Stegostoma tigrinum: one gene and its partner. The protein of the gene in region 2 binds, or shares a complex with, the protein of the main gene of each other region. Links are inferred from orthologs where the notes say so. Each region holds a gene or a part of one and is shown on either strand. Other genes may lie near its edges.

Region 1 (7,326 bases), on a different chromosome or scaffold from region 2:
GCCCAAGAAATATGGATTTATGACTCGACAGCCAGGATAAGGGAGTGGAATTTCATTGTTAAATGACAAGAGTGGATCCAGCAAATAAAAATGAAAACTGTATCAATATGAAAAAGTGACTATAGATGCTAAACTACAAATTAACCCTTTGGTCATGTGCTAAAACTAAAGCTATTAGCCACATGCAAACTGCAAAAGCCAAAATGATTTACGATGTATTCAGTTTCTATTTGCATGCATATCTCAATCTGGGGCAATTAGCTCTGGGAGCAGAAATTTGTTTTAAAAGTTTTCCTTTAAGTACTTATACAGTTTATATGCATTGAGACTAAAGAATTGCAGAATCTCCTGTAGCCATCGACGATTAAGAGAAGCTGCAAACCAAAAATGATCAGGATTTCTCCTACATATTACACTAATTTGCTTTTAATCTAATTAGGCCAATCACAAGTTTATTAAGCATTCAGTATTTTAAAAAGACGCACCCATTTATCTGTTTTAAAAGACTATAATCTTGAGCAAAACTGAGTCCAGATGTACACCCTAAACTGTACGGTCTAAATAAACATCAATAAACATTATTTCACTGAACACCAGCGGACTTTTATAAACTACATAATAATTGTTGTAAATACAATAGTTTTCAGAGACCCAATTTCTAAATTGCGAAAAAGCAATTCTGAAAGCACTATGTCCAGACACATTACTAGGTGTCTATCTGAATTCCTCTCTTCTATCAAAACATATTTCACTCTTAGTTCAGCAATTATTCCATCATGAACCTAAGAATGGCCCAAAATGCATTACAATAATTTCAAAAGAAAGCTATTAACAAAAATAAACTTGCATTGCTAAAGTTGAATTTGCTTAAAAATGATATGTAGATAGAAAATAAAATTCACCAAAACTTTCTCCAACTAATAAGGTCTCACTATTTGCTCATTATTAGAGCAGAAACAAGCAGAGACAACTCTGACTGTAAAACTTCGTCAGGCCCAGTTTGGCAGGTACATTGCAACAGATTTATGATCTGAGTCACAGCACCTGGGCGGGCGATAGGGTGGAGGGAGACACAATATTTAAAGAAGAATAATTGCAACAATTTTCAAAAGCTTTTTTGTTAAACAGTGCTCTGGAAAGTGCCTCCAAACATAAACGAAGCACAAAAACTGGTGGATGAAACAGATACCGAATCAGACAGATAGCTTTCAGGAATACAGGAGGACAGTCTAAATTGGATTTTGTTCAACTGTTCAAGTTCCATTTCATAAAGGGAGAGAGTAAAGAACCAGACATTGGAGGGGTAGTAGGAACTGCAGATGCTGGAAAATCTGAGATAACAAGGTGTAGAGCTGGATGAACACAGCAGGCCAAGCAGCATCAGAGGGGCAGGAAGACTGATGTTTCAGGCCTAGACCCTTCTTCATCGGAGGGTTTGAGCTATAGGAAGAGGCCAAATAGACTGGGGCATTCCCCACCTCCCACCCCCGAGGCTGACAGGTGACCTTTTAAAAGTTTATGAAATCATAAGAGGCATGGATAGGGCAAATAGCCAAGGTCTTTTTTCCAGGGTAGGGGAGTCCAAAACTAGAGGGCACAGGCTTAAGTTGAGAGGGGAAAGATTTAAAAGAACCCGAAGGGCAATTCTTCATTCAGATGGTGATGCGTGTATCAAACAAGCTGCCACAGAAATGGTATCACAGCCAGTAGGAACTGCAGATGTTGGAGAATCCGAGATAACAAGGCATTGAACTGGATGAACACAGCAGGCCAAGCAGCATTATATCAGCAGGAAGGCTGACCGTCAGCCTTCCTGCTCATATGCTGCTGCTTGGCCTGTGGTTTTCATCCAGCTGTACACTTTGTTATGCCAGAGAAACGGTGAAAGTAAATACAATTCCAAAATTTAAGGCATCTCAATGGGTATATGAATACGAGGGATATGGGGCAAATGCTGGCAATGGGACTACATCAGTTTAGAATATCTGGTTGGTGCAGGCGAGTTGGACCAAAGGGTCTGTTTCCATACTGCACAACTCTATGATGCTTTCAGTTTAAAGATATCTTCAGAAAGACTTTCTTGCTATAGAAAAGCAGTTGTACTATATCACTGAACCCCAAATTACCTTTTAAAGGGAATAAAAGTCAATGGGAATGGAAAGCCCTAAGCCAAATGTAGTTCAGACTGAATGGGGTTGGAATACACATTCCTGTTTATCACAGAGATATTAAAAGGGGGAATCTGTCTTACCACGTTTGTCCAACATTTTGGGGGAGATTTGTGGAGGATGGAATGGTGAGTACTGAAATACTAGGAATAAAAGAGTTTTATGGAAGGTTTGGAGGTTGCAGAAAATTTGAGGAGTGGGGATAAGGTTTATGGAAGATGGGAGTTGGGTGAAGGTTATAGAAGATTGGTGGGGGGCATTACGAGGAAGACGATGGGGGCGGAATAAACACGAAAAATTGCGGGGGGAGGGGGCAGAAGAGGAAGCTCCGATTTGACGAGACTCCGCATTTCATAATCGAAGGTATTTAGAGAGGAAAGAGTTTCCACAAGTTCTCGCCCATACAAAGAGGGAGGTGAAGGTGGGGGTAGAAGGGCCAGCCTGACTCAGGGAGACTCCACCCGGGGGAGGAGACGCTTTCACAACTTGTATCCCCGGGCCTTGTGTCGGGCCTTGGGTTGGGTTTTGTCCCGAGGTGGAGGAGAGTCGTGAACCCCAGGCCTGCCAGCGGGAGCGACCGTGCGCCTGCCCTCCCGGAAGTTTCTGGAACCACCCAGAACCTTCCAAGGCCCTGCGGTTGGAGTGACCGCCGGCTCTCCGCGGAAGCTCAGGTCAGGCCACGCCGCAACGACTGTAGGCCCCACCACCAGCCTCGTCCTTTCCTGTTACCTCCACGCCGCCACGGCTACCTTACCTCTAGTTGCAGTCCGCCGAGGCTCCACCGCAACCTTCATGCCATCAGCGCCTGCCGGCCGGCCCGAGCCCCGAGGGGCGGGAGGGAGGGAGAGAAAGAGCGGGCGGGGGGAGGGACTCACACTCCAGCCGCCTGCTCCCCGCCCCGGTCACTGAGGGAGGATCCTCCCGCCTCCACTCAGAGATCGACCGCTCACTGAGATCCCAAATGATTGCCCAACCACTGATCACTCAGTGATCACTTTCCGAATCTTGCCATACACTCTCCAACTGATCTCTCTCATCAATTGATCTCCTTCTTACTGATCTCTCACGGATCTCCCTCACCTTAAACTGTTCTGTCTTATTGATCTGTCTTACTGATCTCCCCTTATGATCGCTACCTCTGTATAACTGACTCTTCCTGATCTCTCTCACCAACTGATTCCTTTCTTACTGATCTCTCTGTAACTGATCTCTCCACTGTAACTGATCTTGTCTTGTTGATTTCTCTTACTAGTCTTTATTTCTCTAACTGATCTCTTTTTAGCAGTGTCCCTCTGAATGAACTCTCCCTTTCCAACTGATGTCTTTCTCTTCACTGATCTCAACCGACAAATAGTGATCCTGCCACACAAAGCAGTTGAGACCATAACATTTAATGTTTTCAAGGAGTTAGATATAGTTCTTCTGGCTATAGGGATCAAAGATAAGGAAAGAAATCAATATCAGAGTTCAGTGTTCGATGATCAGCTGTGAACAGTTGAATGGCAGAACAGGCACACGGGGCTGATTGGCCTACTCTTACTCCTATCTTGTATGTTTCTGTCTCTTTCTGATGTCTTTTTAACTGAACCCTATATTCCACTATTTGATTTTTCTGCACTAACTACAGATTTCTCCAATTATCTTACTGATCTATGTGATTTTGATATCTCTCTCTCCCTCTCTTATCCTTGCTACTGAACTCTTCTTAAACGTGAACTCTGTTCCTAGTGATGACATTCTTACTCGTCACTTCCTCCCTCCCTTTGACTGATCTTCCCCCGCCTTTACCTTTAAATGAACCCTCTCTCTCCTGGTCTCTCTCACTGACCTCACTGATTTCTCTCTCAGTTTCTTAATCCCTCACTGATCTCTTGTGTATCTCCTCCATTTTACTCATCTCCATCTCCCGCTGATTGCTGTCCCGTCTCTACCGTACTCGTTTCTCCTCTCTCTTATTCACCCTCCCCCTCCCCCTCCCTCTTACTGATCCCTCTCTCCGTGTCACTATCCCACTTTCCCTTTAATAAATCTCTCTCTTTCTCACACCATGCTGATGTGTTTTCCCTCTCTCACAACCCCCTTTCACTGATCTCGCACTGTCTCCATTTCAGTGAGTTCTCTCTTCCTCCTATTGATCTCATTCTGCCCGTCACTAAACTGTCCAACCCCACCACTAACCCTTAACCTATCTCCCTCCCTCTACTGACCACTTTCTCTGTGACTGCTTTTGTGCTACCTCTAACTGGTCAATCTCTGTCACTGATCTCTCTATCCCTCTCTTTGTTGCTGATCAATTTCATTCCCTCTTCCCTGATCTCTATCCTATTCACTGATTTCTCTTACTGATTCTCTGTTCCTGATCTGTCTCCCTCTTTTCTGTATCAGTCCCTTTTTACCACTGTTTATGATCCATCCCTCTCTTACCTTGTTTCCCATCTATCCCTCCCTTGCCTTCTTCCTGATCCATCCTTCTGACATTTTGTTCCTGATCTATCCATGTCTCCCCATATTTCTGATCCCTCTGTCATCAAGTTTATTGTCCCTCAGTTACTAATGTGAAATTTTTCTCACACAGGGCCACAAATCTTCAACACTCTGTTGGTGATAAATTAGTGGAAACAGAGTGTTTGAATATTGAACCAAACGCTTACCTTATAGCCAACTGAGCCACCAGCATTCCCCTTTAACAGTAGCAACTGAACTTTAAAACTCATTTGGTTAATACATCTGTTGAATGTGTAACATCGTGAAATATATTGTGCAAGTACAGGTTTTTCTTCTCTGTTGCTAATTTATTTTTCAATCTCACTGGTGTTCCTGGCCCATCCTGCTCTTTCTTATTGATCTTACTGTGCAGGCTTTGCTTAAATTCCAAGCATAAAAAGAACTTGCACAGGATGGCCAAATGAAAAAGGCTGAGGTCTTGTTTAAATGTGAGTGCAAATCAGAATCTGAAAGAAGATTCAATGATGGGTGGCACGATGGCTCAGTGGTTTAGCAATACTGCTCATAACACCAGGGACCTGGATTCAAATTCACCTGCAGGTGAGTGTCTGTGTGGAGTTTGCACATTTCTCCCCAAGTCTGCTGTATTCCCTCTGGGTGCTCCGGTTTCCTCCCAAAGTTCAAAGATGTGCAGTTTAGGTGGATGGGCTGTCTTAAATTACTCATGTTGTTCAGGGATTCTTAGGTTAGGTGGAATTACAGGTCTAGAGTAGAGCTGTGGGTCTGGGTGTGGTGCTGTTGGAGAGTCGGTGTGGACTTTTTGGGCTGAATGGCTGGTTTCCACTGTAAGGATTGTATGATTAATGGAAAATCCTGAATCAGCAGATGGTCCGACACACAATTGTTTGTGTGATCCTATGCATTTGCTGGAGTAGATTGAGTGCAGATGAGCCTTGTTAGTCACCTGCATACCCAATGGAGCCCTACAAGCTCCCAGATGGTGAGCTTCACCTTCTTTGCTTCGAGAGATGAATAACTGATATTGCTAATACGTCAGTTTATTTCTCACTACACTTGTAATCCATTTTGAAATATCATGACACCTAGACTGATGATCAAAGATTGTCTCTTCCTGCATATTTTGAGTTTGTGCAGCAGTACAACACAATAGATCGTCCCTATCTTTGTCAGTAACAGGAGATTAACGATGAATATGACAAAAGCAGTGTTAGCCACGTCCGATGCACAATGATTAAGCTTTACACTATCAGGCATATAATTATTTTTGTAGAAAAATGAATTGCATTTTTGAATAAAATTGCATTTATTTGAAAACCTCATTTCAAAAGGGTTTCAAAGACAAAATTTGTAGAAATATCATTTTTTATTTTATGAAATGGTGATAATTTATTTATGTTATTTTACCTACTATTTATCAAGAACAGACTGAATCCCACGTAAGATAACAAAGTGTGAAGCTGGATGAATACAGCAGGCCAAGCAGCATCTCAGGAGCACAAAAGCTGACATTTCGGGCCTAGACCCTTCATCAGAGAGGGGGATGGGGAGAGGGTTCTGGAATAAATAGGGAGAGCGGGAGGCGGACTGAAGATGGAGAGGAAAGAAGATAGGTGGAGAGGAAAGTATAGGTGGGAAGGTAAGGAGGGGAGCGGTCAGTCCAGGGACGACAGACAGATCAAGGAGGTGGGATGAGGTTAGTAGGTAGGAAATGGAGGTGTGGCTTGAGGTGGGAGGAAGGGATGGGTGAGAGGAAGAACAGGTTAGGGAGGCAGAGACAGGCTGGGCTGGTTTTGGGATGCAGTGGGGGGAGGGGACGAACTGGGCTGGTTTTGGGATGCGGTGGGGGAAGGGGAGATTTTGAAGCTTGTGAAGTCCACATTGATACCGTTGGGCTGCAGAGTTTCAAGCACAATATGAGTTGCTGTTCCTGCAATCTTCAGGTGGCATCATTGTGGCACTGCAGGAGGCCCTTGATGGACATGTCGTCGAAAGAATGGGAGGGGGAGTTAAAATGGTCGTGACTGGGAGGTGCAGTTGTTTATTGTGAACCGAATGGAGGTGTTCTGCGAAGCGGTCCTCAAGCCTCCGCTTGGTTTCCCCAATGTCGAGGAAGCCACAATGGGTATCGTGGATACAATATACCACATTGGCAGATGTGCAGGTGAACCTCTGCTTAATATGGAAAATCATCTTGGGGCTTGGGATGGGGGTGAGGGAGGAGGTGTGGGCACAAGTGTAGCACTTCCTGCGGTTGCAGGGGAAGGTGCCATGTGTGCTGGGGTTGGAGGGTAGTGTGGAGCGAACAAGGGAGTCACGGAGAGAGTAGTCTCTCCGGAAGGCAGGCAAGGGTGGGGATGGAAAAATGTCTTGGGTGGTGGAGTCGGATAGTAGATTCTCCAGCATCTGCAGTTCCCATTATCTCTGAATCCCATGTAATCTAACTCTACTGATCAGTCTACTATGTGGAACTTTGTCAAAGGCAAATCTCTGTAAACAACATCTAATGCTCTTCAGTCATCAATCTTTTAGGTTAAGTCCTCAAAAAACTCAATCAAATTTGTGAGAAACATTTCCCTAGCATGAAGCCTTGCTGACTATCCCTAATCAGTCCCTACCTTTCCAAATGCATGTAAATCCTAACTTTCAGAATGCCCCCCAACAACCCACGACTGAGGTCAGACTCACCAGTCTA
Region 2 (7,753 bases):
GGATTGGTTAAAATAGCTGAAAAGTCTAGTCAGCAGAAAACACTGAAAGATTATGAAGTGATGGACTGGACTTTCCAAGGAGTGGTAATCTCTCAGTGCAAGAAAGAAGGGAACTCTGCATTTCTGAGAGGATGGATGACGGCTTTAGCTTGGTTATGGCTCCACAGTCAGTGGAAGAGGAGGGGAAGTGTCTCACAGGGGCAAGCCGACCGGGTTCAAGCCCGACAGTATGCAGCAGCGGGTATGGGGAATGGGTTCAGAGGCTGGTTGTGGGATCAGGCCGAGGTCTGATGGTGACTGTGACAGGGTCACTCGGGCTTCGGTCTGGTGGTGGTGGTGGGGAGGGCAGAGATCAGGGTCCAGCCGTGGTCATGGGGAGGGGAGGGTTTAACAGCGCCTGGGTTTTAGGGAGTGGGGGTTGTGGGGTGAGTTCAGATCCTACGACATGTGGGTGGGGGGAGCACGGAAGGTGGGTCAGGCCTGGCTGCTGTAGGGCGGCTGGGGGATTTGGACTCAACGGGTCGGGGGAAAGTGTAGTTGTGGTGTCTGAGCTAAGGATCGGATTTTCTCGAATGTCACTCAGGAGTTCAACTATACTTAATAGTCTAACCTTTCCTGAACAGTTATTTTACTTAATTTCGTCTGAACCCTTCAAAGTCTCCGATTTAAACTGAGAATCTCGGATGGGTCCTGGTGTAGAGGTATGACCCAACGGAAAATTCAATTTCCGGGCCATTCCTTCGGGATCTGCTATTATCGGGATTCCGGAAGTTTCCCAGATGCAACTCCAATCTGCCTGGGAATAATGACTGTATAGCCATCAGGAAATCCAGGTCACTACGTAATATACATACTCACCGCCAAACATTTTAAGAAGTGCACAATTTGGGGGGTGGGGATGAGTATCAGCTACAAGATTCACTGCAGGTTCTCATGCAGGCTCCTTCGACAGCACCTTGCAAATCTGAAACCTCCACCCCAGTCCCAAGAATGTGGGCGTGGGAATCCTACTGTCTGGAAGTTTCTCTCCAAGCCACATATGATCCCAGTTTGGGAATGTGTCACTGTTCCCTCAGTGTCGTCGGGGCAAACTCCTGGCACTCCCTTACTAACGACGCCGTAGGTATTGCCGACAGCAGTTCCAGAGGGCAGCTCACCGCTACCTTCTCCAGGGCAATCAGGGATGAACAACAAACATTGGCCCAACCAGTGACGCCCAGGTCCCGCGATCGGAAATTAGAAAAATTATTCTGAAGGGCAACATAGATACACTTATGGTGAAGCCTGAGAGAGACTTTGTAGAGAGAAGTAGCAGGATGCAATGATACAGAGAGATAAAGATGAGTTGAAAAGGGTATAGACACCAGTAAGAACAATACAACAATACATTGTACCCAAATCAATACAGAGCTCTCAGTAACACCCCTTCATTATCTATACCCCTGACTTCCACCAGGTTTGGGGCTGGCGCCAGGCAAACTTCTAGCCTGACTGCTCTGGCGTAAGACGTTATCGGTGCAACAGACAGAACGGCTCAGTGTAAGAGCTGGCGGAGGGAGCTTCACTCTCACAGCCGAAAACTTCAATCCAACGGGATTTACCGCTCGGACAGGATGCAAACAATCGTTGCTAAAACATCACGGTGTGAAGCTGGATGAACGCAGAAGAAGGGTCCCGACCCGAAAACTCATGCCTTCCTGCCCCTGTGATGCTGCTTGGCCCGATGTGTTCATCCAGCTTCACACCGTGTTATCTCAGATTCTCCAGCGCCTGCAGTTCCCGTTATCTCTGTTGCATCCCACGTTTGGTCCGCGACTCCCTCCACTGACCCACTTGTATATGATGTTGGACTGGGGTGGACAAGGTCAGAAATCACACACCAGATTATAGTCCAATTCTAACTCAGTGTCGTGTGATTTCTGACCCTTTGAATATGAAAAAGACAGTAAAATTCAAACAGAGGACCCCATCAGCGTTAAAAGCTTCCCTCCATTTCTGCCTTGCTGTTAATCCGTTCATTGAAGTTGCTTTGGCCTGGGTGTTAGTTGTTCCTTTCTCAGTTTGCCTGGGGTGTCCTATGCACTTCTGTAACTTCCTTACTCCGAGACAAGCAATTCTCCCTGCTACCGCGGTCTCAGCAGAGGTACGTAACAAAAACACACTTTCCCAGTCCCTTCTCTGTGCATCTGTCTCACAAAAATAATGTCCTTCCACCTAGAATACACAGCACTCGCGGGAAAGTGAACCTGAGGATCTGAGCAGAGAGAGGCAGGAATACAAATAGTCAGAGGTCGGGATTATCACTGGTTAGCACTGCAGCCTCACAGCGCCAAGGACCCGGGTTCAATTCCAGACTCGGGCGACTGTCTGTGCGGCGTTTGCACATTCTCCCTGTGTCTGCGTGGGTTTGCTCCAGGTGCGCGGGTTTCCTCCACAGTTCAAACATGTTCAGATTAGGTGGATTGGCCATGCTAAATTGCCCGTACTGTTCAGGGGTGTGTGGGTTATAGGGGGATGGGTCTGGGTGGGATACTTAAAGGGGCGGTGTGAACTTGTTGGGCCGAAGGGCCTGTTTCCACACCGTAGGGAATCGAATCTAATTATCATTGAAAGAGAGGAAAACGGAGACATTAGGTTTGAATGTGTTCAGATATTCTCAAACTAGTGGAAGAAAAATCCAACTTCCGAGTCTTTTTTATAACATCTCCCTAAATCTAAATGCAGCTGCAACACGTTTGTTCAAATGTCAAAAGCACTTGTAACCCTGTTAACTGGGGACGGTCTGAAAGATCGAACCTCCGGGCGAATATAATCGGTATGTGAAGGTTCATTCATCCAGACATTCCCTCCTTCGTTTCTCTTCCATCGCTCCACAGTTCAAACCGGGCTTTCCCTCATAGACAATGTGAAGGTGAGCGAATTAAACAGACCAATCATTCCGTAAGTGAGAAGCAGCCTTTTACCTTGATGAGCAGTCAGAATAAGCAGGAGAGCAGCAAGCCAGCGCTGAGCCATTGGCAGCGGGAACACACTGAGTGATGAGCTGCCTGTTCCGCTCTGAGTTTAATCAGTCCCAATGCCGCCTGCCTCCCCTCGCACCAGTTTTACACACAGCTCCCGCTGACGCGCTTCCCCCTCGCTCCTCAGCCTGACTGGAGCAACGCGTTTCGTTGCTCGTTCGTTTGACACTGTTGCTTTGTTGTTGTGGATTTATTTGCATAACCGTCAGATAGGCGTTAATAATCTCATAAAGTTACCCGAAACTAACATAATGAATTCTTGAGTAAAGAATATTCCCAAGGCATTTACCTGCATTATTGGCTTCTTGTTCCTGTCCCTTTCATCACGGAAATTGGCACCACCTCAAGTGATTATCATTCCTTCTGAATCTCTCAACCTCCCAATACAATCCCCCAGAGTGAAGCTTCTGCCCATTTTACTCTACATCCTGAACCCGAGTCAACATTCAGAGTTCGTCATTTCTCCAACAGGAGAAGCAACTTAATAAAAACCGAGAGAACTGCGGACGCAACTTGTTTAACCTCCTAAGCATTCTAACAGGTCCCGAATCTTCACAGAAGCACAGTCCTGAAGAAGGGTAATAATCGAAAACATTGACTTCTCCCTTCAAATGCTGCCTGGCTTGCCGTGTTCTTCCAGCATCAGGTCTGTCTACCTTGGATTCCAGCATCTAACCATTAAAAAGTAACTAGATACCAAGCCACGTAAGGCAACATTACAGCAGTTCACCCACAGTTTAATCATAGAGTTAAGTGTAAAACTAAAGGCATGAGGATATTGTGAATAGTTTGTCTGGTTATCTCAGGAAATTTTCAAAAGGCTTCCAAGACAGTTCCACGTAAGAGACAAGCATGTAAACCTAAAGCATATGAGACTGGGGTAGTATAATGCCATGGACAGAGAGCTAGCTGGAATAAAGTGAAGAAATAAACTGTTCTTTTTGATGAAGCATGCGGTGACTAATAGCCCACTGCGGGAAATAGTGCTTGACCTCTAATTCACAATATATGTTCATGACTTAGTTGAGAGCATTTTATGATTTGGAGTTGGGGGCCACATGTAGGGTGTCAAAGTTTGCAGATGACATTAAGATGCGTGGCAGAGCAAAGCGTGCAGAGGACTGTGAAACTTTGCAGAGGAACACAGATACATTGAATGAGTGGGCAAAGGTCTGGCAGATGGAATACAATGTAAATAAATGTGAAGTCATACATTTTGGTAGCATAATAGTGAAAGGGATTATTACTTGAATGGTAAAAAGTTGCAGCATGCTGCTATGCAGAGGGACCTGGGTGTCCTTGTGCATGAATCACAGAAGGTTGGTCTGCAGGTACAACAAGTGATTAGGAAGGCAAATGGAATTTTGTCCTTCATTGCTAAAGGGATTGAGTTTAAAAGCAGAGAGGTTATGTTGCAGCTGTACAAGGTGCTGGTGAGGCCACACCTGGAGTACTGCGTGCAGATTTGATTTCCTTACTTGAGAAAGGATGTACTGGCACTGAAGGGGGTGCAGAGGAGGTTCACTAGGTTGATTCCAGAGTTGAGGGGGTTGGTTTATGAGGAGAGACTGATTAGATTGGGATTATATTCATTGGAATTCAGAAGATTGAGGGGGTTCTTATAAAAACATATAAAATTATGAAGGGAATAGATAAGATGGACGTAGGGAGGATGTTTCCACTGGCAGGTGAACCTTGGACAAGAGGGCATAGCCTCAAGATTAGAGAGAGCAGATTTAGGACTGAATTGAGACGGAACTTCTTCACCCAGAGGGTTGTTAATCAATGAAATTCCTTGCCCAGTGTAGTAGTTGGCGTTACTTCAGTAAACATTTTTAAAGCTAAGGTAGATTGTTTTTGAACAATAAAGGAATTAAGAGATACAGTGAGAATGCGGGTAAGTGGATCTGAGTGTGCAAAATGATCATCCATGATCTTATTGAATAGTGGAGCAGGCTCGAAGGGCCGGATGGCCTACTCCTGCTCCTAGTTCTTATGTTCTTCTAAATGTAATCCCTCCAAGTTTGCAGATGACACAAAGTTGGTTGGGAGGGTGAACAGCGCATATTCAGATACTCTGAATCAGGTAGGGAGGCCAAAACTGCGCACAATACTCCAGGTGTGGTTTACAGGCCAAAACACTTGAAATTTAGTCACACTCATACTACAGGCGGCTTGGGCTGGTACGGTGGCTCAGTGGTTAGCACTGCTGCCCCATGGAGCTAGGGACCTAGGTTTGATTACACCCTTCGGCAACTGTCTGTGTGGAGTTTGTACATTCTCCCTGGATTAGCATGGGTTCCTCCAGGTGCTCCGGATTCCTCCCACAGCCCAAGGATGTGCAGGTTAGATGGATTGGCTATGCTAAATTGCCCACAGTGTTCAGGGATGTGTTGGTTAAGCAGATTAATCACAGGAAATGCAGGATCACAAGGATGGGGTGGGTTTGGGTGGAAAGGTCTCCGGGGGTTAGCATGGACACGATGGGCCAAATGGCCTGCTTCCACTGTGTAGGGATTCTATGATTCTATGACACTGGAGTGTGCAGAAGACTCTGAAAGTTTGCAGAGGCATATAGACAGTTTACGTGAGTGGGGAAAGGTCTGGCAGGGGTACAATGCTGATAAATGTGAAGTCATTCATTTTGGTGGGAATAACAATAAAAAGGACTATTATTTAAATGGTAAAAAATTGCAGCATGCTGCTGTGCACAGGGACTTGGATATCCTGGTGCATGAATCGCGGAATGTTGGTTGGCAGGTACAACAGGTAATTAAGAAGACAAATGGAATTTTGTCCTTCATTGCTCGAGGGATGAGGTTTAAAAGCAGGGAAGTTTTGTTGTAACTGTATAGGGTGCTAGTGAGGCCACACCTGGGGTACTGTGTACAGTTTTGGTCTGCTTACTTGTAAAATGATGCACTGGCACTGGAGGGGGTGCAGAGGAGATTCACTAGGTTGATTCTGGAGTTGAGAGTGTTGGCTTATGAGGAGAGGCCAAGTAGACTGGGGTTATATTCATTGAAATTTAGAAGAATGGGGGGCGTATCTTAAAGAAACATGTAAAATCATGAAGGGAATAGAAAAGATAGAATCAGGGAGGTTATTTCCACTTGTGGATGAAACCAGATCAAGCTGTCATAACCTCAGAATTAGGGGGAGCAAATTTAGGACTGAACTGAGAAGGAACTCCTTCTCCCAAACAGTTGTGAATCTGTGGAATTCCCTGCTCAGTGAAGCAGTTGAGGCTTCCTCATTTAATGTTTTTAAATCTAAGATAGATATTTTTTGAAGGAATTAAGGGTTATGGTGAGAGGGTGGGTAAGTGGAACTGAGGCCATGAAAAGATCAGCCAAGATCTTATTGAATGGTGGAGCAGGCTGAAAGGGCCAGATGGCCTACTCCTGCTCCTGTCTCTTATGTTCTCACATAGGAACTGCAGAAACCTCTTTGCACATACCAAAGGCCCACATGAAAATATATGATAATGACCAGATAATCTCACTTTTTAATGATGTTGATTGAGAGATAATTATTAGACAAGACACTGATGATTAAACTAGTTACTATAGTTCACATCAATATTGTTGAAGCTATTTTGAGCCAATGCACATGTAGAGAGGAACACACAAAATTTGGTGGGGTCAGTAAATAGCAATAAGTTTGACTGTGTATTAAGTACAGCGAAAAGACATTGGACTGGATTAAACCCAGGCCAATATGACAAGAAACATGGCCACAGGGCCCATTTAATCATGGAAGAATGTTCAAGTCCATTTCTTGGAGTCGGAGACACTCCTATTATTACTTTGGAGGCAGGAAGGTGCCCATAGACAAGTTTTTAACAAAAAGTTGCTCATGAGATATGAACGTTGCTGGCTAGGCCAACAGTTATTTCTCATCCCCAATTACCCAGAGGACAAGTTAAGAGTCAGTTACATTGCCGTGCCTGGAATCTTGACCACTTTCATTGGGATGTCATTGCATTAGGCTTATTATTAAAGCCAAGAGGCACATTTTATCCCTGAGCCAACCAGAATTTTTTTTCTTAAATTTCAAAAATGTACTTTATTTGTAAGAAATCTCTTTGTATATACACATTGTCACAAAAGCATTTTGGTTGTGTACAGTTGCATATCAAGTAAATAAACAAAACATTAGACTTTGACTTTGTCCAAAACTTCAAATGATGATTCAGGGATTCTTGGGTTTGTTTGTTGCTTTCTGTAGGTGATCCATCTTCCAAAAGCATTTATCAGTCCGATTGAGTGACTCAGCACTGAAAACAGGGATAGTGAATGAAAGCGAACCACCTTGTCCTTCCCACAGTTTATTTTCTGCAAGCTCTATTCCACTTTCAGGCGCTTGAGTGCAGGGATCCACTGCAACAGTTCTTGTAGTGCAGCAGGCATCAGCAATACTGCTGACAATGAAAACTGCTGCTCTCTATTGACCAGCAGCTCTCAGCAGGCGGGATTTCCATCCTCAGAATCCTGAATGCCAGGGAAATCCTGACACCCACCAGTTAAGTGACATTCAGTTGTGCCTCCCAACAGAAGTAATGTGGCTTTCCTATCACTTCTCCAATCAGTAGGCGGGATAAGTATCAGTGACACTAAATTATACCCATTGTGCATAATCTAAAACAGGATATACAAAAGGGGTAGAATTTGTTACAGTTATTCAGGGTGTTGGTGAGGACTGCTATAAAGCGGATGTTGACCCCCCACCCC

What was found.
Region 1: the proteins of mast/stem cell growth factor receptor Kit-like (region 2) and suppressor of cytokine signaling 6 are in contact, whole or in part, in a crystal structure (PDB 2VIF), measured with the Homo sapiens proteins. The link is inferred for Stegostoma tigrinum from reciprocal best matches to the Homo sapiens genes KIT and SOCS6. Residues at the interface, in NP_000213.1 of Homo sapiens: Asn566, Asn567, Tyr568, Val569, Tyr570, Ile571, Asp572, Pro573, Thr574; in NP_004223.2 of Homo sapiens: Arg391, Glu395, Arg409, Asp410, Ser411, Ser412, Asp413, Ser419, Phe422, Thr428, Leu429, His430, Thr431, Arg432, Phe442, Tyr443, Glu444, Gln445, Val448, His460, Asp464, Ala469, Phe470, Cys471, Tyr472, Ser473, Arg474, Ser475, Arg476, Thr482.

The regions. Positions count from the first base shown.
Region 1 is NC_081358.1:55,565,012-55,572,337, reverse strand, and holds the start of suppressor of cytokine signaling 6, read right to left. Parts: upstream 3,009-7,326; 5' UTR 2,923-3,008; intron 1-2,922. UniProt on the Homo sapiens protein: SOCS family proteins form part of a classical negative feedback system that regulates cytokine signal transduction.
Region 2 is NC_081354.1:108,016,811-108,024,563, reverse strand, and holds the start of mast/stem cell growth factor receptor Kit-like, read right to left. Parts: upstream 3,078-7,753; 5' UTR 3,016-3,077; coding exon 2,964-3,015; intron 1-2,963. UniProt on the Homo sapiens protein: Tyrosine-protein kinase that acts as a cell-surface receptor for the cytokine KITLG/SCF and plays an essential role in the regulation of cell survival and proliferation, hematopoiesis, stem cell maintenance, gametogenesis, mast cell development, migration and function, and in melanogenesis.